Linked DNA regions of Struthio camelus. The protein of the gene in region 3 binds, or shares a complex with, the protein of the main gene of each other region. Links are inferred from orthologs where the notes say so. Each region holds a gene or a part of one and is shown on either strand. Other genes may lie near its edges.

Evidence for each region.
Region 1: BAZ1A (region 3) and CHRAC1 share a complex: the UniProt entries of both Homo sapiens proteins name them as parts of the CHRAC ISWI chromatin remodeling complex. The link is inferred for Struthio camelus from reciprocal best matches to the Homo sapiens genes BAZ1A and CHRAC1.
Region 2: BAZ1A (region 3) and POLE3 share a complex: the UniProt entries of both Homo sapiens proteins name them as parts of the CHRAC ISWI chromatin remodeling complex. The link is inferred for Struthio camelus from reciprocal best matches to the Homo sapiens genes BAZ1A and POLE3.

Annotation. Positions count from the first base shown.
Region 1 is NC_090943.1:168,238,819-168,248,495, reverse strand, and holds CHRAC1 (chromatin accessibility complex protein 1), read right to left. Parts: upstream 3,758-9,677; 5' UTR 3,677-3,757; coding exon 3,542-3,676; intron 3,026-3,541; coding exon 2,899-3,025; intron 1,917-2,898; coding exon 1,771-1,916; 3' UTR 861-1,770; downstream 1-860. UniProt on the Homo sapiens protein: Forms a complex with DNA polymerase epsilon subunit POLE3 and binds naked DNA, which is then incorporated into chromatin, aided by the nucleosome remodeling activity of ISWI/SNF2H and ACF1.
Region 2 is NC_090961.1:12,218,128-12,227,699, forward strand, and holds POLE3 (DNA polymerase epsilon subunit 3), read right to left. Parts: upstream 4,672-9,572; 5' UTR 4,478-4,671; exon of another isoform or gene 4,420-4,477; intron 4,322-4,419; 5' UTR 4,312-4,321; coding exon 4,246-4,311; intron 3,265-4,245; coding exon 3,179-3,264; intron 2,484-3,178; coding exon 2,365-2,483; intron 1,873-2,364; coding exon 1,712-1,872; 3' UTR 970-1,711; downstream 1-969. Other genes in the region: C20H9orf43 (uncharacterized protein C9orf43 homolog), read left to right, coding at 6,872-7,031, 8,181-8,340. UniProt on the Homo sapiens protein: Accessory component of the DNA polymerase epsilon complex. Participates in DNA repair and in chromosomal DNA replication.
Region 3 is NC_090946.1:55,197,925-55,208,142, forward strand, and holds the start of BAZ1A (bromodomain adjacent to zinc finger domain protein 1A), read right to left. Parts: upstream 4,601-10,218; 5' UTR 4,266-4,600; intron 4,201-4,265; exon of another isoform or gene 4,013-4,200; intron 3,554-4,012; 5' UTR 3,516-3,553; coding exon 3,403-3,515; intron 1-3,402. UniProt on the Homo sapiens protein: Regulatory subunit of the ATP-dependent ACF-1 and ACF-5 ISWI chromatin remodeling complexes, which form ordered nucleosome arrays on chromatin and slide edge- and center-positioned histone octamers away from their original location on the DNA template to facilitate access to DNA during DNA-templated processes such as DNA replication, transcription, and repair.

The DNA.
Region 1 (9,677 bases), on a different chromosome or scaffold from region 3:
GAAAGTCAGTGGGCGCGCTCACTTGGCAAGCTGAGCAGCAGCTCGTCTTGAGTGCCAAAATCCAGCCATGATCAGTCCCCTGCAAACTGTGAGCAATGGGAGGTGCTCACCTCCACGCGGGGCTGCTTGGGCACCTTTACTATCAAGTCACTGATATTGGCCCTTATGATCTACGCCTGGCAAAACCCCAGGTCTTCTAAAACTGAGCCAAACAGTTAAGTAAGTTCAACAGCTTTTGAGCGTGAGCATGTCTCTGTTTGGTTCCCCCCCCACCCCCCAACTGCTCAGACATAATTTACATATCTCAGCATACTTGAGCCTTCAGCCTGGGACAAGCTGGTAGTGTTATCCTGACAGGGAGGATACAGCATGAATAATTAGCAGGCAACTCTTTGCCATACCATCCAAATTAGTGTGTTGTATGACACCTCTCATTTCCTGGTTAAGGGCAGGTTGCTGCCTGGCTTATTGGATGTGGAGAATTAGTTCCTTAACCTTTTTCCATGCTTAGGGAGAACAGAGCTTGGTTTCGGTAAGTGTCTGCGAGGTAGGTAGTGGAACACAAGAAGCATTCTTCTCTTAACCTCCCTCCATCTAGAGAGACATGTTAGTCAGTTCAGTTTCTTTCTGACTAAACATTAGAGAGACCCTTGGCTAACAGTGGTGAGGCTCCCAAAGCAGACTAAATCTAGTTAGCATTGCTAATAGAGAACACCTCAGACGATTGCTCCAAGCATCGCATAGCTCTTTGCCCCCCCCCCCCCCTTTCCTTTCTGGAAAGATGAACAGCAAGCATACTAGGCTCATACGTTAACCAGGGACGTGACTGAAGCTGGAAAGAACTGTAGAAAGCCTCTGCATTAACTGTCACTTTTCATATAAAACATTTATTTTCCTTAAAAAGTTGCATACAAAGTTCTACACAGGACTGTCACCATTTCTGTAGTTTAAAAAAAAAAAAAGAAAAAATCCAGCTCTACCGCTCAAATGGTAAAACAGTTGCTAATTCTCTTGCCACTCAACAATCCACATTCAATAAACTTAAAACAATGTCCATTTTGGTAGGAAACCACAGACAAATTGCAGAAGTAGAGACTTCACTAGAAAAAAAGATTCTAGATATACATATTTACATCATTATCTAACACATCTACTTTTTACTGCTGGCCGCAGAGCCACATCAGCTATCGGAATGGATCTGAACCTCTAGCTCATTTCTGTGCAGACGTGGCTATTTAAGCTGCATTACAGAAGCGGTTTTTGGGGGGTTTTGTTTTGTTTTAGATGGGCTTGGTCCACTGCTAATGCCCTGGCACGTTTCCAGAGAACTGGGGGAAGGTTTGATCAGTTATTGTCTACTTAGGGAGGCAGAGGACATTGCGTAAGAAGTCTCTCCTCCCCTCATTTTCCTCTCTGAGGAAAGAGAAAGTGGTGGAGGACTCCTGGTTGGAGGGAGAAAGAGCCTTTGGACTGAAAGCTGCATTGCCCATAAGACGTTTTAAATTTGGATAACGATTGTCTGAAGAAGTCATTTTAAATCGTCTGAGCAAGTTCTGCTGTCAGATTTACAACAACTCTTCTTTCCCCATCATGCGTCTGAGAGAAGAATTCCATTCTTCAGCAGGGATAAAGTTCAATTTCTAAACTTCTTAAAGCAAAAGCAGATGGCTCAGTGTATAAATATATCCAGCATATGGATTTTCAGTCACAAAAATAGCATCCTTTATACAACAGAAAATTGATTAACTATGAAGTAATTCTCCATTAGCCTTAAGATCCAACATCTTCAACACTTTCTTCTTCATCATCATCTTCCTCCTCATCCTCTTCGTCATTTTCCCTCACTTCTCCATCTCGCTTCTCTTTTTCAAGCATTTTTAGGTATTTGCTAGCGAGGATCTTCTTTGGTAAGATATCTGAAAGGTAGAATTGCTTCTTCTATAGAAAGTTTGAATACTTAAATTATCTCATAAATACTGTTGCATCCATATCATTACTGAAACAAAGTCCAACAGAGGCAATTTTGAAAAGTTATTATACTTTTAGCGACTAACCAGATTATTCACTCTGGCTTATGAACAAGCTGTGAGAAAAGGAGGGAATTGCCCACTTAAGGTACAAGTAATCAAAGATGAGGAATATATGTTATAAAACTGATTACAGACCACTCTCTTTACTACCTAATCACTTCATTTTACTTTTACATCAAATAAAAATGAGTGCTCATTTAACTGGATAGCCATCCCATTTATGTTCTGTGGAAATTGTTTTTCTGTACTCAAGGAAGGTATTGTTCAGGGCAATAATGATGGACCTGTGACAAAACAGGACTGCATGCTCTGAAAGCATGCCCATAAGGTGCTCGGAGAAAAACTGGGCTAGGTACATCTCATCCTCAACCCATATCCTTTTCCCATATCTGTTCTGAGCTAAGTGTTAAAACAAAAATCTCAGTACCAGCAAAAAATGTATATGTGCGTGCACACATATACTTACACACTAAAAAGGGGGAGTGGAACCAGAGAATGACTCTCTTTGAGAATTAAGATTTGTAGATTTACATCTGTAGTTTCTGGGATAACAGAAGTTGACACAGAAAGACCTAAAGTGATCTCATTTTATAGGCTTGAAAGCTTTCAGATTGCGTTGTTTGCATCTAAGAAACGGATAGAGCAATACACAGAGGACTAACAGGCCTTGTGTAGTTTCCCAGCACTGGAAAAATACCCATTCTTTTGCAAAGAAGTGTTTTCAGTGATGTAGTTCATGAGGTACAGTCGAATGCTGTACAGGACACTAACAACCAGTAGGAGAATCGTGTCCTCACAGAACGCTTCTGTGACAGCACCGTTTCATTTTCCAAACTACATCCTGGATTCACTATTACTCTACAGATACCTGCAAGGAACTGAAAGGTTTCACACTCTTCCGCGGTGTGAGACAGGTCACTGTAAGTTAGAGCGCTCTTCTCCTTGCCTCTGCCATGCTTGTAGGAGTAGGTAGCCAAATACTGTACAAAAAGCTCCTAAAAATCAAAACGAAGTCAACAGTCAAGCAGTGAATTAATACATAGAGTTGGTAGCAGTTGTCGTTAATCCCCACTTAACGCCCTTTGCTCAACCGTACGTATTGTGGGACGCCCTGCGCAGAGTCCCACGGATTTCAGAAAGGCTCAAGGTCAGGATGTAGCTGAGGGAACTTCACTCGCGCTGCTCGCCAGGGCCTCCCGCAGCCCAGCAAGCCGCAGGCGGGAGGGGAAAGCGGCAGGAGGCGGCCTCCACACGGGCTCGTTTCCTGAGCGCGGTGGAAACGCTGGCTCCCGCGGGCCCTGGCGGCTCGGCCGCAGCGGACGGCGCCCAAACCCCCCACACGACAAGCAGCCAGGAGGGCGAGGCTTCACCTCCCGCTTGCGCGGGTAGGAAAGGGCCGGAGGGAGGCAGCGAGAGCTGCTGCGGCGGCGGCGGCGGCGCCGTTGGGCCCGGCCCCCCCCCCTCACAACCGGGCCCGGCCCGGGAGGGGAGGTGAAAGGGGCGACCGGTACCGTGGCCTTGGCGGTGAGGAAAAGAGCGTCTTGGTTGATGCTGGAAACCTCCGGCGAGCTCTTCATGATCACGCGGATGCGCGAAAGGGGCAGCGACACCAGCCGGTTCTCGCCGCCGCTCAACCGCGCCGCCATCTTCCCCTCCTCCTCCTCCTCCCCCACCCCCAACCCCGCCTGGCCTCCGACCGGCGCCGGCCCTCCAAACCCGGCCGCGGGCGGGCGGGGATTTGGGGGGGGGGGGGAATAGGCGGCCTCTGCAGCACAGCCTGCTGGGAACTGTAGTCTTCGGCCACTAGAGGGAACGCCGCGCCCCGCGGCTAAGCAGCGAGGCTTGGACTACAAATCCCATGAGGCACCGCTCCGCCCGCCGAGGAGAGGAGGGGGAAGGACTACAAGTCCCGCCGTGCACCGCGCCTCCCGCGGGAGGAGCGTTCTTCCCGTGATGCACCGCGGGCCCTGAGGCGATGGCGGCGGCGGCGGCGGCGGCGCCGTTGGTTCCTCAGAGCTCGGCCCGGCCCCGCCGTCGGGGTTCCCCTTCCCCGGGCCCGGGAGGGGGCTTCTCTCGGCGCCGGCTGGTGCCCTGCTCCCTCCCGCGGCCCCTCCGCGCGGGTCGTAGCCCCAGGCGGGCGCTTGAGCTTCGGGAGCAGCCCCGCCTCTGTCTACCCTAATTACAGGCCACTGGCTACCAAATTATTCACGGATCTGTAATCGCAGGTGGCTAAATACCGCCTCAGCTGCTGTAGGGACAGTCAGAGGGAGGGCTGTGACGCTCGTGGGAGGTATTTAGATGCGGAGGGCCCGTGGAAGGTATTAAGTGATAATAGGGCAGTGTCTTTGTTATTAACACGTTCGGCCTGTGCAGGAGCGTACCGCGGTGCGTCTCTGCTCGGGTGACTCGTATCCCGCTTCCCAGCGGCTGGCGTCCGCTCAGGCCCACCGAAGGCAGGGAGGGTTTTGCTGCTGATAAGGCTGGACCGGAAAGTTCGCGCGTGCCTGTGAGGATGAGACCTGCCGTACTCTGCCTCTCCGCGAGCAACTCGGCGCTCGCGGAAAGGATAACGCGCTGTTTGCGTTTCCTTAGTGTCTTTATTCAAAAGTTTTCAGTGCGCTTTACGAGCAGTGTGCCTGATTGCGTGTGTTGGTAAGAAGTCTGCTAAGGTCACTTATTTGATCGCCGCTTAATAGACGCGTAGAGGCTTTTCCACGGCGTGCAGAAATAGTACGTGTCGAGTTTGGGGCAGAAAGGGAAGTGTCAGTAAAGAGAATTGTATTAAATTGAAAATGCAGGGAATTTGTTAGCAGGATATAATCAGCTGATGCAGGTTTTGCCCAGTACATAAGGACAAGGTTTTCATACAGGTGATGTTGGGTTATTAATGAAAAATAACATCTTCAGCACATGTCGATACCTGAGTGCAAGGGTGATGTGACAGTTCCAGCACTACAATATTTGGAGACGTCTTTTCCTATTAGTCTTTAAAGACAATCTAAATCTCTTAGACTGCAAAGATCCCTTGAGGTTACAACTTTGTTGATGCTATTCTGTGGCAGTTACAGCTAAAGCGAAGCATAACATAGTATGATGCTATTTTGCAGGCTCAGTTTCTTTGATCCTTATCTACTTGTGACATCTTGTGGAAACAGTTGACATTGCCATGACAGTGAATTCTGCTGGTATCTTTCATGATTTCAGTATATGAAGTTACCCATGAAACTACCAAAATTTCTGATGGTGTTGAGCCATCTGGATATGGGTTTAGGAGCCATGTAGATCCTATAGGAGCTAGGCACCTGTCAGTGGTCCTTTTACTCAGTGGTGGACAATGTAGCGTAAAGTGGTCTGGGCAAATCGGGACGTGCTCGTTTTTGTCTGGCTCCTGTCCCACTCTCAGGCTTTTCCCTTCACCCACCCACTGCTCCCAGAGTCAGGGCCCATGGGACAGCTCTGTCATTCAGCACGGTGCTGGGAAGAGGAGGGCGTTCGACTGACAGAGGACGGGAGTGGGAGCACAGCAAACTTCTGGCATCTCTCCCTTCCCACTGCTAATGCAGATTTGGTTCGCAGGAGGCAGAAGCACAATGCATGACACAAAGTGGATGTGTACACGCTCTGAGGATACCATTATACTGCAACGTTACTGGCACTTAATAATTATTTTTTTAGTACGTTTTGAAATGGCAGCATTACTGTGGTACCAGTAACTGACTGAACCTGTTCCTAATTAAAAAAAAAAAAAAAAAAACCACCCACAGATCTGTAGAGTTCAAACTAGAGTTAGTTCTTTTGAATCAGGACTGAACTGGCACTGTTACTAGGAATTATTCTTTAAACCTGACTTGGAACCCAGCTGAAATAAGTATCTTTTGTGATGAATTCGAACAAGTTTCACTGAAAACTAATATGCCCCAGTGGAAATCTCTTCAGCATAGAGACTATTTGTACCAATTACAAACTGCAGAGCACTGTCACATCAGTCTCTCCTTTTCTACTCCTGCTTGGGTCACTAGTCCTCCTTTTTGCTGTGCTTTGCGGCCTTGAATAAGAACCTGCTCAGTGGAGGTACTTTGGCACCTCAGGTGAGGTATAACTACGCTGTGTCTGGAAACACAATGGAGTGACCAGAGCTACAATTCTTGTCCCATAGTAAGGAATTGTTCCTTGTCACTGCCACCTGCCTACCTGAGCTTCCCTGCAGCGATCTCACTTGTTTCACTCTAAATATGTATCTCTGGGTTGTGTATGGACGTATTTCCCAGGAAAAGAGAAGAGATTAGACACGTTGTGCTCATCCCTCTCTCTCATTTCCTTCCTGCGCAGTGCAATGCCACAGTTTCTGTCGAGCTTCTCAACCTCGGTTTCCTTTTTAGGGAACTGGAGAGATGCTGCAGCACTGTGTTAACAGTATAGGTATTGTGCAAGCTTTGGCAGAAAAGGAGGCTGGGGTAATTTTCCTTGCTGCGGTCTCACCCTGTAGCATGGCTATTTTAATTCATTATCTGTGACGCAGTGCATATAAATCCCAGGTTACTGGTATGAACTATTAGTGTTCTGAACCAGAACAAAACTGTAACAAATTCATGGGCTGAATCTGAAACAGAACCTAACTGAAGAAAATTACTGATTTGACTCCCTAATTTACCAATTTGACTTCTCCTGTCCTATACTGAGTGGAAGTAGAGCTATTGTGGTAGTAAAGCTTCCTCTCAGTGAATAGTTGGCCTGCTCAAACAGGGACAGAACTCATTCATATGTACTAGTGAGCTGCCTGAAACTAGAAAAGAGTGCTGTATCTTTGAAAAATGCTTTCCTGTATCATTCCTTTATTGTATGGTATTAAAAGAAAAATCATGATAAACATGATGTATCACAATTCCCCATGGAAGGGAATCTGGAGAAGGTGTCTGCAGAATTTCCAAACGTCACTGAGATAAGTTAGAGTATTATCGGATAAAGAGCAAATATATTATAGAAAGAGCATGAAGCAATTCTAGCTGCACTGAAGCTCTTCCAGTTATTCCAGAGAGACTGTGATGAAGACTGCACATTCACATTGCTTGGCAAAGCCAAAGAAGTTCACGAATACATTTTCTTTACACAAAAGTGGAGCATAGCTAAAAAAATTGACCATTATGTTGCAAAGTGGCATTTTAAAACCAGCCCATGCACATTTAAGAGCATTGAGAGTAATTAGAGAGTAAATTATTTATGATCTGTAATCAGAAAAAAGACTATTGACATTGACCATTATGTTGTGAAGAACAGTAGGAAAGTGCTGGACCAGTGAAAAAATGTGTGTGAGTCAGCGAACAAGGGAGGAAGCAGAAGTCAATCTGGCAAAGCATAAACGCAGTATCTGGATAAGCAATTGGCACATGCTACAGTAAATGTAAAGATATATTAAAATAAAAAGCTGTTTATCATGAAATGCATACCATCACAAAAGACATTAACTATGCTGCAGTAGTGTTCTTGGCATCTGAAGCACAGCGATACGGAAGTAGCATTCACAAATAATGAGAACAGTTTATAACGAAGTTTATGATGAAGCAGAAGCGTTGTCTTGCACGAGGAAAAAAAAAAGTGATTCTGAAGGCATTTGATGACGTGTTATTGAGTGGGGATGTATAAGGCTGTATCATACTTGGAGATAAATCTGAGCCGTTGGTAAAGTAGATGTTAATGCACAAATGCAAATAGAAAATGATTGAATTGACAGTGGTCACTAATATGCCTAACCATTTTGAAGTTTCAGGTAAGACTCTCAGTGTAGGAGTTCCTCCGTTAGAAAAGCTGAAAGGATGAAGATTTTCAGCTTCAGAAATGTTTGAATGGGAGCCAGGTTTTCAGGCAAAAAATGCCAAGTCTGATCTTCCATTTCCGATTTTGATAGATGCCCATTTAGGTAACTTCTCTTCAGACTCGCTCCACCACCTGGGATTATGCAGGACATTATATACCCACAACCTGGAGGGTATCAGGAGACTGAGTAGCTTAACAGCAGTGTCAAAGCTCTAGATCACTGTGTTTACACAGCCTCAATCTAAATAATTTCCTAGAGATGCTAAAATATTAGATGCTCCAATTTACATTAATCGTAACTCTGCCTTTCTGCAAGCCATTTATCACCATCACCTTTTTGTCTTGCAAGAAAAAAGTGTGAAACAACAACAGACTGCTGAGATGAACTACGTCAAAAGCGTGTCTGAACCCCTCTCCAACCAAGGGTACAGAGTAGATTCATGAGTAACGATCAGCATTGGCTCTGTTCAGCTGAGCCCAAACCTTTAAGGTGCTTTGGTATCGCTGATACCACAACAAAGTACAAAGTGAAGTACCTGCATCGTTATTGTAGAAATAAATGTAGCAATCATGTTCCTGTGAGAAATGCTCCCAGTCACGTTCCTGGCAAAAGTATGTGAACAAAAAATGATTACTTTGTTTATTTAAAACTGTCACCCTCTACCCTCTCCATCCTAAATTTGGCTAAGCTTGACTATGGCTATCTTCCCTCCCGAAAGGGGTGTGCAGCTTCCTACCTTTGTATTCTTTCTGAAACAGAATGGCTCCATTTGTAGTTTCATCTGTATTATCCCTGAATTACTGTTAAATCAATTCACACCAGTTCACACCAAGCAATTGCTTGTCCATAATCTTCAAATAAGTGTTAATGCTATTGAAGTTACCGTTTCAATCTACAGTCCTTATCAGGCTGAATTTTTCAGTCACAATTGATTCCCACAGTGAGCTATTTTCTAGAATATAGCTAAAACTATTAAACTATATGCTAGCTGCGAAGACGAGAGATTTCTGTCTTAAACTCCCATTGTGACAGAACCTAATGCTGTGACACATTGTCCTACAGTGGCCAGTTTTTCAGTGCCTTAGGGGGAAAATGAGTAGCATGCTGGAAGAGAATGTGACATCCGGGGAAACGTGTCTGCTCTCCTGGATTACTGTGGAATACAAAAATAAACAGCTTCGTAAAGTGAGGTTGGGAGAGGTTTTGGGTGTTTTGTAAGCAGGGATGTATTTTTTTTAAAAGTAAAACTGTTACAGAAAAGTCTGGTAGCTGAGTGTTGATTTCCAGTTCTCTCCATAGTTGTCAAGAGGCCAGTAATGTGCAAAGAAGTGAGTTTGCATTACGTCCCTTGTGTCTTCACATGCATCTGTGAAGCTAATAAATGCGGTGCTTTCTAAGGAGAGACACCTAACTGTCAGCTGAGAAATCCCCAGCTCCTTTTTTTTCACAGAGGCTTTTGACTTGTCACTGGGAAATACATGTGTTCAGGTTATTCAAGTAATTATCATCCTAAATGGTTTAAGAGCATTCATTTGTCTGCATTTATATATAACGTTTGTGTGTTGGAAGTAGGTTTGTGCTCCTATGACCCTTCCCAAATCCTTTAATCTTTCTCCAGCAATATACTTGTGACAAGGTCTCCTGAATAGTGAGCTGTAAGGAGGCCATATTAACAATAATTAACTTAAATGACATTTTCTGTCCAAAGCTAGTAGTTAACTGTATTTTCTATTATCCCGAAAGTGTTTGTATAATAACTAGTTCTAAAAATTGTTTTAGAAAAGTTAAACTTGGAGGTAATTCAACTCATTTTCATCCCTCTCTTTGGGGGAAGG
Region 2 (9,572 bases), on a different chromosome or scaffold from region 3:
AAAAAAGGGGGGCCGGGGAAAGAGAAGAGACCTCCAGGAGACCCTGTCAACACTTCAGTCTTTTCTGCCGTTATTGACTGCATGGCAGCCGAAGCTAGATGGCAGAAATCTCTTTCAATCCAGTTCTTTTCATGAACTGGGCTTCCGCATGACGGGAAACCATGATGCCATAAAAATGTAAAGGTAGGGTAACTCTTGTGGGAAGCTTTGCATCAGTTTTTCAGAAGAAACAGTGAAAAGGACGTACCACTCCACACAAGTGCTCGCTTTTAAACTGCGCGTCAGCAAACTGTTGAGTTTACTTAGATGTACCTAAACTTTTCCTCAGGTTTCCTTCAGCAGAGCTCATTTAAGTCCAAATATTAGGTTTATTATCCTTTAAATGAGCAAATGATAAAACATTTTTTTTTTCCTAAAAGGGGCTTATTAGACTAGATGCTTTCCTCACAGAGGAGAAAGAAAAGTTGTCATAACTTAAGAGTTCAGTATGAAAGAACAAAACTGTAGGAACGCTAGAAATGCAAACAGCTTGCTTGAACCCATTCATCAGCTGACCCATCTTTCTTGAGAGAGGCATTTAAAAACCAAAGGCCGGAGGCTGGCCTTTCTAGGTAGGAACATCCTGTCCTCACTGCACTCCTAGAGCCCATCACATCTGGAGGCAGACTGCATCTTTTGAATAGCTTTGGGTAGCTTGTACTAAAAAGGCTAAAGGAGGACCTTAGTTCAATGTAGTTAGCCCATTCCAATTTGAAAAAATAAACCCCCCTCAAACCCCCAACCAATCTATTCTAATACCACATGTAAACTTGCTGCAATCACAACCTGTCTGCAGAAGGAACTGCAACTCTGCAAAGGGAGGAGAGGTGGGGAGACCATCAGATCCACGGGTGCCCTCTGCTGACCTGCAACAAATGTACCACTTGATACAACGTTGCATCATTGCTGATACACAACACATCTTAGCTCTTAATTTTGCTTCAGATTTTTAATAAAATTGCTCTTGGTCTCCCAGGGTCTTTAAAAGATATAAAACAAGCACTTTTGGTATTTAGTTTACATTATAATTGCAGCAAAGTTCTTTTGATTTGGATTGATTCTGGGCAGCAAGTCAGTTCTGTATCACTGCATACAACTGGTGAGGTTGTAAACCACATTATCAGTGTCACAGCAGAAAGAGAAGGCGCAGCCAGAAGGCAAGAAAATGAAGGGAAAATGAAGTCACTTGGATAAAACTCTTAAACGTTCAGCTTTTGAGACGTGAAGGTGTCTCTCTTAACATCATCAGGCAGTTTCTGTAACTCAAAAGTTATAACCTACTCAATTCAGCTTCCGACTTGGTTTAACAAACTTATTCAACAGTTTCCTCATGTTCTCCCGACCAGTTTCTGTAGTGAGAATCTAACATTTCCTTTTGCTGTATTTCAGAGCCAACCCTGCATAAGAACCCCAGTCTTTTTACCCAGTCATTACTGTTTGGGTCAGAATCTGGCGAGAGCGCCAAGTTCCACGTGCACAGGGAGGAGGTGGTCCTTCCACTAGAAAAGCTGTAGAAGTCCTTTATATACAAGTCAAAGCCAAAAGGGGATGGGCCCCAGAGGAACAGTACAAAGCTCTACTGGAAACCAAGAGGGGACACAGCAAAATTGATTTACAGCATTTATATCCCTACGAACAGAGCCCAACTCCCGCACACGTCTCATCAGAAAGCTTAGTTGTCCACCTCTTCCTCCTCATTTTGCTCTTCTTCCTCCATTCTTTCGTCGTCGTCATCATTCTCTTCCTCTCGGCTCTTATCTTGCTCTTCTGAGTCTGCCTTCTTGTCTTTATCTTTTCTTGCTTCTTTCTTTCCTTTCTGTTCACGTCTGTAAACTAAAAAAAAAAAAAAAAACACTGAAAATTTGCAGGCTATCCACTGTATGAATAGTAGAGCAGCTGAAGTCCAATGCCCACTTGCTCTCCAGGGTTACAACAGGAGCAGTGAATTCAGAGCAGCAACTCACCCTATTATTTGAGCTGTGCTGAGCAGCTCCATAGGAAATCAGGTTAAGTGCTGTTCAGCAGAAATATGCTGAAAAGGACGCAGGAGTTCCCATTTACAGGCAGCACCTAAGACTTTCCTTAGACAAACATAATAGGGGAATGATATCAGATGAGACTTTCCCAATCCTCATCAGTTGTGAAATAATGTTATCCCAGTCCTGTTAAGGTGCACATTATTTATTCCCCAGGCAAACTGCAGTGTAGGATGCTGGGCAAAGAAAAGAGAAACAAGACAGGGAAATAAGCGTTGCTTGTCGAACCTTCTAGGAAAGTAGGACTTGGTGCTACTTAGACTCCCTTGACATGAACTGAGACCAGTACCTTCCAGTGATTCTTTTAAAGGGGCTACAAATCGCTGAAACTCCATTTCCTCCATGGCAGAGAGAACATCACCAGCATTCAGTGTTTTCCTCTTCCCTTTCATTGCAAAGTTATTTGCACTAGTCAAAAACAAGGAGAACAGAGATAATAACTATCAATTTATTCTTGCTTCTTAAGGTCACAAACAACTTCCCCCCCTCCGCCCCCAAAAGTGATCTCCTAAACATTCAGTTGTTCTTACCACATACTATAGCTGATTTACTGTAATAAAGATATTTTCTTGTTTACATTGACTGTTCATGTTTCCATAATCTGGGTGAGTACTTAAAACCAGAGCAGTGACTGTCTGCACAGCATATTCTGAGCATATACACATGGCCATATACCCAGCCACCCAAAAGAGGTTACTGTATCCTCTGGGATCAGCTCCAAGGCAGCCTATGGTTGTCTCAGGCTTAGTCCTAACGCAGCTACGTGGAGAGCCTGGAAAGTGAGCAAAGGTCTTTCGCATTTGCCTGGAAATACCATACAGCCATGCTCCAAGGCCAGAGGACAGTGTGGGGGCCGCTCTTATTCCTCACGGGGTAGGAAGACACCTTCGTCTACAGAGTCATATCTGTCTTCCCTCAGTTTGTACAGGACAGTCCAAATCTGACTGCTGCAATCTGATGGACTGGGCTAGGCTGAAGATTGTTTTATTCATATAAACAGTCAACACTTCACTAGCGCATTGAAAAAATCATTTCCAGGAGAGCCAACAGAGAGGCTAGTTATAAATCAACTGCACTGGTGATCTGATCCAACCACTTCTTACCATGATGTTGCATAGAGCACAAACACACTTGCCGCTCGAGATATTGCGCTCCGAGCTTCTTTAGAAATATTTACTCCATCAGGAAGCTGAAAAGCAAATTCGAGTTTTATCAGTAGCTGCTATAAATGGCTCAAGACTGCATAATTCACGTGTCAGCTCAGCTAAAGCTTTCAGAGAGCTCAGCATGACTGCAAACGTGGAAAGATTTATTTATCTCAGATGTTATTACAGAAAGTTTGATAGTAGCTGAAAGTTAACGATGATCTAAGCTACATAAAAGGAAAGTAAATTCTGCATCAGCAGTGGGTCTGGCCATCATCTCAGTGGCGATTCATCTGATCACTATCAAATTCTTGATGCAGAACAATCATCCAGCAATATCCAAACTCATGCATTGACGCCTCATAGCTTAAGATCATCATATCATTAACTTAATAACTAAGACTTACTCTAGGCTTCTACACAGAAAAGAAATTGCACTTGAGCCCTCATCTGTTTCTGCTCTGATTTTGTTCTGGGAGCTGGTTTAGGAAGACAGGGTTCTCACTGCCCCATCGCTCCTGCCTCTACCGTAGGATTTCAGAGTCTGGATCGTTACTCCTGACACCTGGAAAACTGGGCTGGGGGCCGATCTTTTCCTCACAGGTTTCCTCACAGGTGCACAACACGCGTGACGGCACGGGAGGCTGCGCCCACCGCTCTCCCCGGACAAGCTGTTCCCGGCACCCGGGCACGTTTGGGGAATTCGAGAGGGCAGCAAAGACGTGGAATAAAGAAACTGCCGCGGGGGGCTGCTCCGGAGGAGTCTGTCTGCTGGCACCCACCCACCCCCGTCCCTCGCTCGCCGGGGCCGCCGACGGCCGACTGCCCCGCCGCCGGACCGCCGAGGGGACGCGGCCCGGGAACCGGCGCTGCCCTCGCCCTGGGGCGGCGGAACGCGGGCCCCGAGCTCCGCGGTGAGCGGAGGCCCCCCGGCTCGCCAGGAAGCGCCCCGAGGCCGGGGCCCCGCTGCCGAGCCCTGCCGCCTCCCCGGCCCGGCCCGGCCCGGCCCGCGCCGCCGCGCCCACCGCCTCCTTGATGATGCGGGTGATGACGGCGTTGGGCAGGTTCAGGTCCTCGGGTCTCTCCGCCATCCTGCGCCACCTGCAAGGCAAACGGGAGCGTCACTCGCCGGGGCCGCCCGGTGCCGGGGGAGGGCGGGGGGGGAGGTGCGGCCCGGCCCGGCCCGGCGCCCGCGGTACCTCGCCGCGTGCCGGCGGCCGCCGCACCGAACCGCGCGCCCAGCCGCTGCCCTCTCACCTCTGACCCCTCCCAGCGTGCAGCGCGCCCCTTCCCGGCCTGCCCCGCGGCCGCCGCCGCGCGCCCCGAGCGCGGCCGTTGGCCGGTAGGCAGCGCCCGCCCGGTAACGAGGAGACGGGCTGCCGCCGCCGGCGGCGACTCAGGCCCGGGGGCGCGGGAGCCTGGCGGCACCGGCGGGCACGGGCACGCGGCGCGCGGCGTAGGGGGGCGGGGCCAAGGGGGGGCGGAGAGGGGGTGCGTCCAGGGGGCGGGGCTCGAGGGGCCCGGGGCGGGCCCGGGCGTGGTGGGCGGGGCCCGGGCTGCCGTGGGCGGGGCTAAGGAGGCAGGGCGGGGCGCCTGCGGGGTGGGGATGGCGGGAGTGAGAGCGGGGCAGGAGGAGTTGGAGGGCGGTGGGTGATGGGGGCAGTTCATGGGGCTCCAGGGTGGGGGGACAGGGGCAGTTTGTGGGAGCCTGAGGTGAGGGAGCAGGGCCGGGGGCAGGTCGTGGGACTCGGGGGCTGCGGACAGGGGCAGTTTGTGGGAGCTCAGGGCAGGGAGCAGGGCCTGGGGCAGGTCGTGGGAGCCTGGGGGGTTGGTGAGGGATCAGGCGCAGGGGGGCGAGAGCCTGGGGGGAGCCCGTGAGGCAGGTGCCCGGCCCGCCCACCGGTTTCCGGCCTCGTGAGGGCACGCCTTGGGCTGCATGGCATCCGCGCGGGGGCCTCCTCGCCCGGCCGTGGCTCGCCCTGGGGGCCTTCGCCTCGCCAGCCCTGGCGGCGAGCCTGGGGCGCGCGCTTGAGCGCTGCGCTGGCGCGGGGATGTGGCTGCGGCGCGGGGCCTCGTGGGCAGCCTGGGCCTTGGGGCGCCAGGCCGTGCCGAGCGTGCCTTCGGCGAAGGTGTCGCTTCCCCGCGGACCCCGGCCCCCGACGCGTAACGCCGCGCCTCAATTTCTCTTCAGTTGATTTCATCAGGTTTTATCGCTTTTGATAGCCTGACAAGGTAATTGAAGTAAACTCAGAGTGTTAGAAGGCAGTGGATTAATCTGGTGTGGTGTCAGAGGTCATTTTTGAAATTGGGAGTGTTAATGGTCAATGCATCTTTTCTCCATGCAAAGTGTACGTTTTCCAACAGTAGCTTGTGGATGTTTACGTGACCAATTTATATGTAAAGATTGGAGCTTATTTTACACCTGATGGTATTCTGGGAATAGTACGCAACATCTTCGGTGTAGAAAGGTCAGACCTGAAGAAAGGCTTGTTTGCCTGAGGACGTGATTACGTTTCCAGTTGTACTGGTTGGATTAATAAAAGCTATCACCTGTATGTACAAATCATGTCTCTTGAATCTCATTTTTAGCACCTTTTAATGTATTCTACTGTTAACTGTATGGATGCTTTATGGCACGCAGAGACAAGATGCTGTAGCAGGTGTTGGATTAGTTTCTAATGAAAGTAATGAGAGACTGTAACTGGTCCGTTTGTAAGTGTAATAGATGGTGCTAATACAGACTTCTGAGTTGGCTGGCTGCTCGCTGTTGTTAGAAGAGTCATTAGAAGCCATTGTGGCTTGTTTTGTTTTTTATTTCGCCAGAGGCGAGGTTGTCTTTTGTACACACCTTTTCTAATTTGAGAAGAAAGCAAGACACAGTTATGTTGTTTTCTGGTGAGGGGGGTGGACTGGCGTAGAAACAGAAATGGTGCTGGCCCAAGGCCAGACAGAGGTACAGCCCAAAGCTGCTGCTCTCATGAACCTCTTCTAGATGCTTCTCATCATGAAGAGGCGTATATCTTTCTGACATGATGGACTCTCTTCTTTCTTGGATGCTTTGGTCACCAGTGAAATAACTGAGATAAAAAGGTGTGCTTGTTTTTAACTACAACGTCTAGAGGGTCGACGCTGTATCTATTAAAGTAATAATTAACCTGCGTTTTCTTTGAGGCATGTAATGGTGATATTGTCTCCCGCTTTTTTGCTTTTCCGCACTGGCTAGCATAGCCAAACCACTGCTCTTATGTCACTGTAGATATTCCAAAGCCACAAGGAGAAATTATTGTACCAGTGTAAAATGTGACTTGTAACAGTGAAGTTTACTACTGCAGGTCACATTTTACATGTTACATGCTTTGCATGTTACAGCTAGATGAGACTAGAAAGGAACTATGATATCAAAGCTCTGGAGTGACAGGGTACAATGGCAGGTTGTCAGCTTGTCATGACCTAGGATGGATGTGCCTGAGGGCAGCCTGTGATTTGATCCCCACCCTGCAATGTGGTTATTTTTAACGTTATACTGTATATGTATTCAGGTTTGTTTTCTTCTGCTAAATTAATATGCACTAATTTTCTGTTTTGCAGAGTATTTAAATCGATGATACCATCTTACCACTCTCCCTTCATACTGGAGCGGTTGCAAAAAGGATGACTGCAGATGTAAGCCAGTGGGACGAAACTATTTGTGATAAGGTTATTTGTCAGCATCCACAATGCTGGGATACACTAAGGAGGATTGAAGAGGGACATCCTCGGATCCGTTTAAGAAATTCTGATTCAATTTCTAGAACGTTTTTGGAAAGCAAAGGTAAAGTTTTGGTTAAATTATTATCTTCACAGAAGAAGGGAAAAGAGCATTCTTGCATTTGAGATAACTAACTTGAAATCCTAGTGAAGTCAAGGAAATTTTCAGTTTTCACATGAGGTAGCTAGTGAAGTTGAAGACTGTTCACAGATTTTTGGATTTTTAAAGCTGGAAGCAAACATTAGATTGCCTAGTCCGACCTGTATAATGTATTCATGCCCTTCAGGATTTATCTCAATAGCTTGTTCAAATAAAGCATCTCTTCCCTAAGGTAACTAACCTTGATTAGCTGATATCAAGAAAGCCAGAGTTACTTTCCTTGGCAGCTTGTTTCAATGGTTTCTTGTTAAATTTAGGTACTCAGTCTTCAACATGCATTTTTCCTTAAGTATATGTCCATAAGCTAGTAGCAGGTTTCATTCCAATTCCACCCTAGGTCCTCTAACACGCTTCAGGAAAGTCTTTGTAAATGAGGTTTGCATATCAGCTGCTTGGAGCTCCCTGTGTACACTCTTTGATCACTACTTCCTAGTGTTTGCCTGTGGGTCTGATCTCCTGTTTACCCAAGTGATTCATCAGTGTTTGACAAAACTTGCTGTCATCTTCTTAAGGGGGTTTCTGCTGCCTACCAGCAAGAATGGGGTCGCTATGGACAGATAATTAAGAAGAAAGAGTTGTTATACTTATGTTACTGTAATTCCTCGAGATACACTGTACAGAGCAGTCTGACAAAGTGCCCTTCTCTTCTGTAGCTTCACAGAGTCCTTTAATGGAGACTCTGAGCAGCAAAGGAGGTGACTGGTGGTTGATACTGCACTAACCTTCTTGCCCTTAGAATGGCGGGTTGAGGCTCTGCAGGGCTCATGCACGGCTCAGAAAATGCTGTGGTGTAGAAGGTGGTGATTTCTTGCATTTTTGGCACTTTGGGCCCTAGGAGTATGATCTGCACGTAGAGAACTTCTCCAAGAATCACGGTTGCTATAAGGTGAATTATTGTTTCCTTAGCTAGAAATTCTGGCTACTATAAATGGGGCTAATACACCAATGGAGCTGTTGTGTCTTCAGTGGCAGTAAACAGTTATTAAACACTGCACGCAGTTTTTACTTATCAGATCCTTGATGTTCACCTTGCATTTGCTTTACTTTTCTTAGATGAATTTCCAACGCTGAAAATAGTAAATATCCCCCCCAGCAAGTCTTTGAGAAGATGCGTCCAATGTTCCAAGTGTCACAGAACTTTCTCCATCTCTGCTGCACCCTCTCTTCTAAATTCTGTGCTTCAAGAGAGTTCGGAGGAAGATAGTGCTGTCAGGTGAATGGCTCTGAACATCCATCTGTGAGTTTTAAGCCTGCAGTAAGGGCAGGCATGAAGGTGATAGCTTGTTTTTTTGTTTTTTTTTTTTGTTTTTGGGTTTTTTTTGTTTTTTGGGGTTTTTTTGTGTTTTTTTCCTCAAAGAGCTCACAGAAACATTAGGTTCAGCTGTAGTGGACACAGCTTACAAAATGTTGTTTGTACTGTGTAGAATACACTGTTAGCAGTAATGGTTGAGTCTTGCTTAAGTTTATTTCCTTGAAAACGATGCTTCTGTATCATTAAGACCAAATAAATAAAAAATTTGAAGTACAGATTATTTCTGTATAGTAGTCACTGTGGAGTGCATATATAGTCTCTGTTGGTACTGAAGCCCTATTAAGATCGGTGCAATAAAATTCTTGAAGAAACACAAGTCCTAATTAAATGTGTATGCCCATATGGTGGTATAGAATCGGCAAATGGTTGAGTATGTTCATAACCCCTGTAGGCTGGTGAGTCAATTCACACCTCTTTCCCCTCATTAGTACTAACTGGATCCACCCTAAACTGCTGTGGAGCTATTCACAGAGTAAGTTATCACAGAGCATGAGTCAGAGGGGACAGTAAAGTGCTCAAGGCCAGAGTTAAGTGTGTGTCCCATTAGCTCCATGTCTGTAACAAAACAGGAAGGGACCAGCTGCTCTGGAAGCTGAACACACAGCTCGGATCCGAGTGGCTTCCATGGCATGGGATGTTGTTACAGTACTTACTTTTACTAGTTTAAATTTGTCATAGACTGGCCCTTGCTGGTCTGCATTCTTTTCTTTTTCATTATAGAATAAGAATTTTAAACTCTCGACGGTATCCTGTTTTTAAAGAAAACGAGCTTTATTCTTTATACTTCTGTCCTGAAACTTAGCTCTAATGTCTCAAAACATTCCCTCTTTCCTTTCCCTAAAGTAAAAATAGCCTAGAAACAAAGAGGAGCCCAGTTCCCAGTGGAATACGTTGGCATATAGATGTCGCTCACACACTCCCCTTCTGAACTCAGTTGTTCTAAGGCTAGATCATCTCTGACTAAGGCTTTCTAATCCAACTGTTGCATCCTCAAAGCTCAAACCACTCTAGCTATCCCAGTGTCAAAATCAAAACTGTTCCCTAGGGTCCCTTTTATCATAAACTGATTCAGAGGTTCTAGTTATCAAAAAAAAAAAAACATCCTCAGGCTAAAATTCTACTGATTGAAAAGA
Region 3 (10,218 bases):
TGGTTTAACGTGTTTTTCATGCATCCCAACTTACTTGCTTTTTCAGCTGCTACTATGGCTTGAGAGGCTCTTTTGTTGATCTGTCCACAGATCTGGCCCTTCACGGTTACAACTAAGCATCAAGAACATCTCTGAAGTTCCCTCAGTTCCTGTTACTCTTCATACATACAATTAAACATTGTCACCTCACTATATCCCCTTTTAAGGATTACAAAATTATGAGACGGTATTTCAGATTAAAAAGGAAATACATTCTTAAAGGGAAAGTCGCTTTACAAAATACTAGCCTACCAAATTCTCCCTGCATTAGCATCATGCTCTCTTACACAGAGAGAAATAATACCAATTTATGATTCTACTCGTCTCTGCTAAGGCTGCTTATAGCATCAAAGCTTTTCAACTTTGTAAATTTGTACCCTGTAAAAACTAAGAAAACAACATTCAAGTCTTAAGAGTTTATAGGAATTAAAAGTGTCAAAGCACTTGAGGCAGGGGGTGAATTCAGGTTAGTATATGTTTTATATATATATATATAAATGTTTTATATATATAATATATATACAGTCTACGTGATCTAGGCAGATTCTGTAGTACTTAAATTCTCACTGAAAAAAGAAATCAAGTTGTTATTACAAAATTAATTCCCAGATTAAAAAAAAAAAAAGCACAAACCGATGCAGCATCGTCCTTTCAAGTACAGACTAATCTAGACATTGGTTTTCTGTCACAAAACAGCTAAAATAACTTTTTTTAAAGTACAGCCTCTCTATCCCTGTTAATTAACTGCCCTTGTTTAAGCAAAGAAAAGGACAATGTTTTTCTCAGAAAACATTATCTATTTGAAGCATCGCTTTGCACCTAACAGAGGCAAGCATCAACGTTTTTAAACTTGCTAAAAGATGACCCTATGCTCTTCAGTGCTTTATACTACACTTAACGTCAAATCTCTTATTCAGTTGTGCCAGAACACATTGCTAAGTACAAAAACACCGAGCAGACCAATCAAGGCACCAATTTTTACCCAGCCTAAACAATATTAAAGAAAGAGGAAGGAAGGAAGAAAACAAAACAAAAAAAAAAAAACAAGCACATCAAAAATTTCTGCAGGCAAACTGCATCTTCTGGATAGAGGCAGAGTACAAGAACACTGTTGTGTTCCAGAGTGGTAAAGTTTGTTTTCCGCAAATATCCTGATACCATAGCCTACAGAGATCATTCTGCAGTATTTTCTCCTTAACGCGAAGTCCAAGGAGATTTAATAAACTTTAGTTATTCTACAAATGCAATATACTAGTCCTTACTTCTGGGTTAACCACCCACTGATATTTCTAGGGATAGCCCATGTGAACATAAGTTTATCCCAAAATCTGTTAACTCTGGTTAAATGCAGAATTTGGTCTTTCATACATTTTCTTAATGACAACATCCTTGCAGTGTAAATAAGTCTGTCAAAGTACTTGAAATCTTCAAACCTTTTCAGAGCAGAAAGATGTTTTAAGAAGATAACTCTTCATGCGAAATCTTTAGCAAAACTACACACATCTGAAACGTAATTCAGAACAGTGTCCACAAATACTTGAGAGTCATCTTATTATGTGATAACAACAACTGTGGCTAGAAAAGCAACCTTCAAAACGGTGGAAGTTGGGGGAGGGAGACTTAATTTCTACAGAAACACGAGGTTGTCAGTTCCTGCTTGTTAGGTTCTCATATGCCCTGTATGATAACACTCCTTACAGAACTTCCTAAAAACACATTTAACCCTATGCACACGCACTAGATTCTCCAGTAAACAGTAAGGCATTATCCTTCAAAGTTACCTAATACAACTTCTTTAAAATGTTATTAGGTGAAGTGTATCTGAGTAAGAAAAGCAAGTCTAAACATGAAAAAGACTTAGGTGTGATCTAATTTCATATGCTGCAAATGAGAAGTATTTCAGATTTAATCTCATTAGTCTGCATTTCTTTTGAAAAAAATAAGAAGAGTTTGGATTTGGAAGACCTTTGTTCTAGGCGGGGAGGGTGGGAATAAAAAGGAGCACGTCGATCGCCTTTCAAAATACGTCTCTCTCAATACTTTTTATCCATTGTTCTCACAAGCAATAAAGTAAGCGACAGTAGGTCGGGGGGCTATTGCTGCGTTTCCCCAACGCAAGCCTTCAACAGTTAACAACAGTTTCGCAATTTCCATTGGTCTTTTTACACTTGGAAAAGCATGGGGGGGGGGGAAGAGAGAGAGACAGAGGGACATAACTAGAAGAAAAGATCCTGAGGGGACAGGTGTACTTCTCACTGCTCGTTTTCAGACGATTTTACAAGGCGATCGCGCCCTGCGGCGGGGAAGCTCGATCGCTGTCCAGCCCCGGCCCCGGCCGACAGGTGCAGCGCCCCCCCCGCTCCGCCCGGCCCGGCCCCGGCGGCGGGGCCCAGGGCCTGCGCCCGGCGGCCGCCGCGCTCCCCCCCGCCGCGGGCGCGCAGGGCCAACGGCGGGGCTCGCGAGCCATTTCCAACCGGGTCAGCAGCGACTCGCCCCGCCGCCAGTCCCGCCGAGGGCGGGGCGAGGGCGGCCGTGGGCGGCGCTGACGGCCCGGCCCGGCCGCGCACCGGGAAGAAGGGGTTAAGTGCGCCGGCACAGCCAGGGGGGCGGCCGGGGAGCCGCGCCGAGCGGGCTCCGCAGGCGGCGCCCCCCGCCCAGCTGCTACGACAACAATGGTGCGGCTGGCACATGTCAGGCGGCGGGGGCCGCCGCTTCCCCGCGGCGCCGTTTGAACGCAACGCAACGCGGCCCGGCCCGCGCCGCGGCCGTTGGCGGCCCGTTCCGCCGGCAGCGGGCGGCTGCCGGCGCGGGGGCCGGGCCGCGGCCTAGCGCCGTCCGCCGCCGACATGCGGCTGCCCACGGGGGAAGGGGAGGCCGAGCCGCGGGCAGATCCTCGCTGCCGCCCGCTCCCTCCCACACGCTCAACTTTCACTTCCCCGCCGCCGGCCGGGGGCAGGGGCGAGGGCGACGCCGCACGGGGCCGCGCGCGCCCTGCGCGGTGCGGGGGGGGGGGGGGAGGAAGCGGCCAAGGAGCTCCCCCCTCCCCATGAGGGAAGGGAGGCGGGGGGGAGGGGGTCTCGGCACACCCCGCCGAGGAGGGGAAGGGATTCCCTCTGCCCGGAGCAAGAGATCCGCCCTCTCCCCCCACCCCCCTCGGGAGGGCACGGGCTCGGCGCCGGCCCCCCCCCCCCGGCTCCCCGCGGCGCTGCCGGGGAATCCCCTCCCCTCCCTTCCCCTCCCAGGTGTCAGCCGTTCCGGGGGTTAAACTGCTCCTGCCCTCGCGGCAGCGGGGGGGGAGGACGCGACATGACACGACACACAAGGGCCGAGCGGGAGGGAGGGAGGGCAAGGCTCGTCTCTTACTCGTAGTCCCTGAAGATCTCGTTAGTGACCCTGCAGTAGAAAACGCGCTCGTCCGGCCGGAGGTCGGCGGGGGGCTTCTCCCTCACGAAGGGCTTTCGGTGCAGCAGCGGCATCGCCCCACTCCGTGCTCTCCTTCCTGCCCCGGGACCCGCTTCAAATTGGAGGGAAAAAGACGGAGAGAGGGAGGGAGGAAGGAAGGAAGAAGGGAGGGAGAGAGTGAGTGAGTGAGTGCGAGCCGCGGCGGCCCCCGGCCCGGGGAGGAGGGAGCGGGGCCCGGCGTGTCCCTCCCCCCAGGGGAGCAGGAGCGGGAGCAAGCGGCGGCGGCGGCGGCAGCCTTTTGTGTGCCTGACACGCCGCTGCCTGCCTGGGACTGAGCGAGGAGCGAGCGGCGGCTCCTTCCTCCCCCCGCCTCCTCCTCCTGCCTCACAATGGGGCCGTGACGCCGAGCAGCAGGCGGAGGCGGCTCCCCCCCCCCCCCCCGCCGCGGCCGCCCGCCCGCCCGCCTGCGCCACACAACGTGCTCGGCTCGGGGATACCCCGGCTGCCGCCGTCGCGCTTTGTCTCCGCCGGTTCCCCTGCCCCCGGGTCACCCCTTTCCCCCGCCTCTGACCCGCGCACGCCGCGCCGGACACCAACTTCCACTCCTCCGCCCCGCAGAGCAAACAGCCAGCGCGGGCAGCGCCGATGGCTTATCTGCCTCCTTCGCTTCCTGCCGGGCCGGTACCGGAGCGGGGTCCTCGAGCCTTTCCGCCCCGCCGCGGCCGGGCGGCTCCCGCCGGGCTGCCCGCACCGCTCCGCGCCGCGCCGGGCTCGGCTGCCCCCCGCCCGCCTGCCCGCCCGGCGGCCGGGGCTCGGCTGCCCACCTGGTGCGTGGGGAGGCGCCCCTCGCTGCTTCTCTTCCTTTTTCGCTGCCGCCGCCTCCCCCCCCCCCACCAAGCTCCTGGGAAGTTTTTGATCTACTTCTGCAAGCCCTCAATCAGGAAGAGCTGCTGGGAGGAGCTTTCCACTTCTCTCCCCTACATCTTTATTGGCCGCTCGGTGCCTTCCAGCGTGTGTCACACAGGAAGACAGAGAGCTACATTATTAATTAATGGCTGAGAGGACTCATCCTCCATTTTTGAATTATCAGCCTAAAGATCTACAGCGCGGCGGGGAGGCCGGGCCGGGCCGGCGGCGGGGAGAGCGCGGCCCTTTGCGCGGTGCGCGGCGCCGGGCCCGGCGGGGCGGCGCAGGGGCGCGGAGCGGAGCGCGGCCGCCGCCGGCCCCAGCGGTAGCAGCGGGCGGCACCGCGAAGCGCCGGCCGCGCACCCGGCGAGCCCGCTGCCGCCCGCAGCGCGCCGGCACAAACCTGCTCCGCACGGCTGTTTTGTGCTGCCGAGGCACCAAGGTTTCCGCGTTTGGTAGTACAATGACAAGAGGCTTTTCCCCTTCCTTGGCTCCTTAAAAAGCCAAGGGATATAGTGCTATCACAGTGTAACTACAATAGGGGCACGATTTGCCTGAAATTAAGATCAGCTATTCATAACATTGTGCGTAAGAGTTGTACGTGGGCCCCTAAACAATGCTGCGCTTTTCCCCAGCTACTTGAAAATGTCAGTGTACTTACCACTGTATTCATTTTCATTACTTTTTATTATTACCTTAATGCGTTTACAGTGCCACTGGTAATTAACATTGGGATGTTAACTTAATTTTGATCTTAAGAGTGCTAGCCAGCTTAAAGACATAAAAACGCAGAAATTCCCCATCTGTTGTAGTGCATCATGTAAGGTCCAGACCTGCAGACACACAAAATAATTGTAGACGTTCTGTAGAATTATTCACGAGCAAAAATGTTTTATTTGAAGGCTGACAGCTAAACAGAAGTTTACAGCTGAAAACTCTGTTCATGCAAATAAAAGGTCCTGTGCTGTCCCCTGCACCTGTGCATAGCTGTTTTCATTACCACTGCCAGGAAAGGCAGTGATCTGCATTACTACGACCTGTCTGACTAAAACCTAAATGAATCTTTACAGTCAAACTGTTGAATTACTTTTTTTCAAAAGTGATCAGGTTTTAATCAAAGGCACTGAGAACTGTTAATGCTCATTTCTTCTTACAAAATAGTAAGCCTGAGCAAAATATTTACAAAAATATTTACAAAATATTAAGCCTGAGATACAAAACAGGTAATGCATAAGTCCCTCTAATTCCTACCAGTTTATTTTCATTTGTGAGATATCTTCACTTTCAGTTTTAAGTTAATTTCTAGCAAAGAGCATAAGTGCAAATTTAGTTAACGCTCTTTTAACGTATCTAACGTCTCTTGTAATTTTTAGCTAGTTTTGCATCAAAGCCACACAGCAGGCTAGGGTTGTGACATTTAGTGTTGCCAGCTCTATGATTACAGTGCAAGTTTTGCAACGTTTAGGTTTTTTTTAAGCTCTTGCTCTTCAGCAGATGTCAGTAAACGGGAACCTCAGTTTTCATTAAAAACAATTACATTTCTCTACCTCAAGTCTGAGAGGAAGGTTTTAATATGTGAGCCTGCAAGGCTCATAAATCAGAAGGGAAATAGAAGCCCTTGGTGTATACTTTTTTAAAAGTCATTATTTTTAAGCCCGTATCATGATATTTGGGAACTTGGGTGATTTTTTTAATGCTTGGATTGTCAGCACAGCATTATTTTAGAACTAGTTGGTATCCATGAAAAATGCATGAGTTGATAGAACTGTGACATCAAAAGCAAATTCCCTTTTCCTTTTTGCTCTCTCTTGCCCTCTTTCTCTTTTCCTCTCACCTTTTCCTCCTCCTCTGGTTCTTCCCCTCTCATTATTTTCTCAGTGGTTTTCCAATGAACAGATCTTCGCTGAGTAATAGGGTTGCATTATGTTTTCGTATTCTTAGGGTACAGAGGAGCAGTTCATGTAGTTTTCATCTTTGAATCCAGCTCTGTCCTTCAAAATCCACTAAATCAGGTTCTGATTCTGCTCTCGATAAGGTCAGCAGGAACAAGAACAATTTTTATTAACACTGGCTAACGTTGACTAAGTGGGCATAGAGATTTCAGTAGAAATTAATTCTGAGAAACCTGAAAAAAAAATACTTTCCTTCCATGGAAATATTTATTGTATTTGTTACATTGTACTTAATTGCTATAATCATTTGTTCTTTACAACACATCACTGAAATAATAGTTTTCAGACAAGAATTATTATTGATGTAACAAAGTGGCAAAAAACACATTGCTTCTGTTTTTTAAATTATGATTCACGCACTGAGAGCTATACTAAATGGATTTCTCTAGCCAATGAAGTTGCTATTCTCATTCGTAGAACTTTAAAAGCAGTTGTACTGAGAACATAAAATCTTATAAAATACTTGGGCTCTTTGCCTTACAGCAGTAGAACAATTTCCTAGGAGCACCATCGGCCCAGGCTCAAACCCCAAACTTGTCCTTCAAGGCTCTCCACAATTCTGCTCATTGTTCATTTCTGTGCACTTGCTCTTTGCTTTATCAAAGATTTGTTTCCTTGTCCTATCCTTATCTTCCCGTCTTTAACGCACCAAAGGCTGATTGACAGAGAGATACTCCAAAATATTTTTATTCAGATCAACCATTACCAAATAATTCCATGTGTGACTATTTTTTTCCAGGAAGAAGTGGAACAAATGGAATTATTTTAGTATAGCTTTGCCACTTTAAATTCACACCTAACTTTATACTGGAATAACTAATATTTAGCTAAATCATACACTTGGAACCATACAAAAATACAGGTTTTACTCAATCTGTTTTACCTGTACTATCATGCAATCGCGAGGGTTTTTTCTGTAGCGAATGTTTAGCCACTTGCTTGCCTGCTCTTTTGTTGGTGGGGTTTTTTTTCCCCAAAAGTTGCTACTTTGTTCTCTCAGAGTCTCACGGAAGTCAGAGAAAATTTTTCCAAGAACTTCACTGGACTGTGAATGAGACTCTAGATTCTCAATGCTAATTTCTGTAAAAAAAAGCATGTTTGAAAAGACAAGCTTGAATAATGAACTAATTTGTGTAAATGATACATCGCTAGTGAGTTGTTCAGCCAAATGACAACGAGACATAATTTAATACCAATACTCTCAACCCTTTTCTCTGTTGCTTGAAGAATGTACACAAGGAGAGGAAAAGTATAACAAATATGTGTGCATCGACTCATTTTAATGCACTGAGTAGATTAATTTGGGGATAGTATCACCACTTTTCTTTCTGAATGCTATTTTGGAAATATTTTCCTTCCATAATGCAAACAAACCTTAGATTACTTTCTTAAAGAGTAAGGCACACAGCAAAAACACTTTATTTATCTGATTATGCATTTTACAACTTACTGATACAGTTTCTATGCATCTTTTACCCTTTCTCCGCCACCTTGCTGAGCATTTACTCTTTTGATCATATATCTTTATTTAAACTACGTGAGCAAAGACAATGTGGTGGTTTTATCAATAAATTCCAGCTGTGTGTAACAGTAACATTTGGTCTATTGTCTTTTACTGGCTGTGAAGCGCTCTGCTCAGTTTTTAATAACATACTCACTTATTAATAACATACTTCAGCCAAAAAGGAAGAGATACACAGATGACTTTTCACAACATGTTCCATTTTTCTTTCATTTTAGCTCAATTGTATTTCAGCATGCTTTTAAAGCAGTTCTGTAATCAAAAGGGATAGTAGGTTCCTTATTCTGCAGCTGCTGGATGCATTCAACACTTGTTGCTTTCACATGAGTCACAAAAATAGGAGGAAAGAAAGAAAAAATTCCTAATGTTGAATGAATTTTTGGTATTTTCAAATTTTGTCTAGTTTCTTAGTAGCCTTAGCCCAGCTATACCTTACTTGCAAACGCAGATCCAATCTTTGGTTCTTTTACTATAATACATTATAGGGCGATAAGTCATGGCCAGAGACTACACTGCCTACTGCTCAGGTTAAATACCACCTAATACGACAGGGCCCGTCCCTCAAGAAAGTCCTCTGGGAGTACTGTGATGTTTCTTATACCATCAGAGTTATTCTACAGGAAGAGTTATTCTGCGTCCTTCTTTTTTTTTTACAGTTTAATATGATTTAGGCATACAGTCCTCACTGCGTTTGATGGATATTGCATGCTTAACTGCCATGCAACTCCAGAAATTAAGAGATATATCCCTTTAAGGTTTACTTTAATCATATCCCATTTTTCTTTCTCAGAAAGGCCTATTAAGGCTATTTAAACTGATAACCTTATACTAGCGAGGAGGAACTCTGACCTCATCTACTCGGCAGCTATGACCGTGTATGATTGGCCTCTGACCTGATTACAAAATGATAAAATGATGTTGTGAAACTGCTATTCATTTCCCAATAGTGTCTCTGAAACCAGCTTAAACTCTTGAGAGGACTGGTACTGCATTTTCTTGTTTTCAGTTGCAATGCACAGGATACAGCATATTGACACTACTGTAATTGTCTGACACTAAAATATGCTGAATCTCTCATTGCTAACCAATATTTAGAATGAAAGATGAATCATTTTGAATGCATGATAGGTGAATTTGCTATTTTCTGCTATAAATGAACATTTTCACTACTAGAGTGATGTATGGTATTTTAGAATAGATTTAAATATCTTGCCTCAACCTACTTGAGATCCGCATCTGAATGAGATATTCTTTATGCACTTACATTTAAGATTAAGAACACTAGAACTGTATAACACTAACGTAGCATTTACTAAGATGTTGCATCAACCTCATGTGAATTAATTAGATTGAGCACATCTCTGTCCAGCTGCTGAGTAGAACCAATAATTTCAAGAATGCTGCATTACTTTGTGATTTGGTTAGATGGCTAAACACTCCCAACATTTTTTTAGTAAGATGGAGATGAGGCAAATCTGTTTGCGTATTGAAAGATATCCCATGCAGTGTAGTTGTTATTTAGGAGCACATAAACAGAAGTGGGTCCAGGAGCTGATCCTGCTTATTTAGTCAAAGATTACAGTGATGATCCAAGCTGAAACACTTAATTCTACTCAAGTACACGCCATGTCGGATTGTCATTGAGTCATTTGACAAATGTAATGACTCACCACTATGACTAGTATCCTGATTTATCTCATCCATTTAATATGAGACTCCTTTGGCCCCCACCTTATTTTCCTCTGTCTTCCTACTCATCTCTCATACAGGGCTTTAGGAAGGATGAGGCAAAGAAATAACTATTTAGGCACTATTCTGATGGTGCATGCCAAATAAGTGCAGACTGGAAGAAGCCAGTAGCTGCTTGAGCCCCAGCTTGGCTAGACTGGGACTCTGGCTGTCTCCCCATATGACATGGCTCACGCTAGTAGTGGTATACACCAGTGGAGCGGAGCATACCGTACCGTGCTGCTCACGCACTGGCATACATACTGGCCACCCCTTCAGCCCAGGCGGACGAAGGCAGGAGTAAATGACATCTTGCCATGGATGCAAAATAAGCTACACCTCTGATTTAATGCTTTCGCAGGGCTCTGCTGGAGCCTCTCTCCTTTCCCTAACTGCTTGTGGCAACACGGTGCTGGCACAGTGCTCTGAGCCTGCTATGTTGAGTGCTAAAGCTGGCGCGCAGCCCATCGTCCAGCGTACATCCCAGCCACAGAATATATTGCACAGAGGGATGCCACGCTCAAAGAGCTCCTCTGAGAGGAGGACTCCTGCTAGCCACAGCCTACATGATGATTCTCCCTCCTCACACAGATCCATACACAGGCATGTGTTGGGTGTATACCACTGTCACACGATGCCCATGTTGGGGCCTCACACACAGGAGAAATT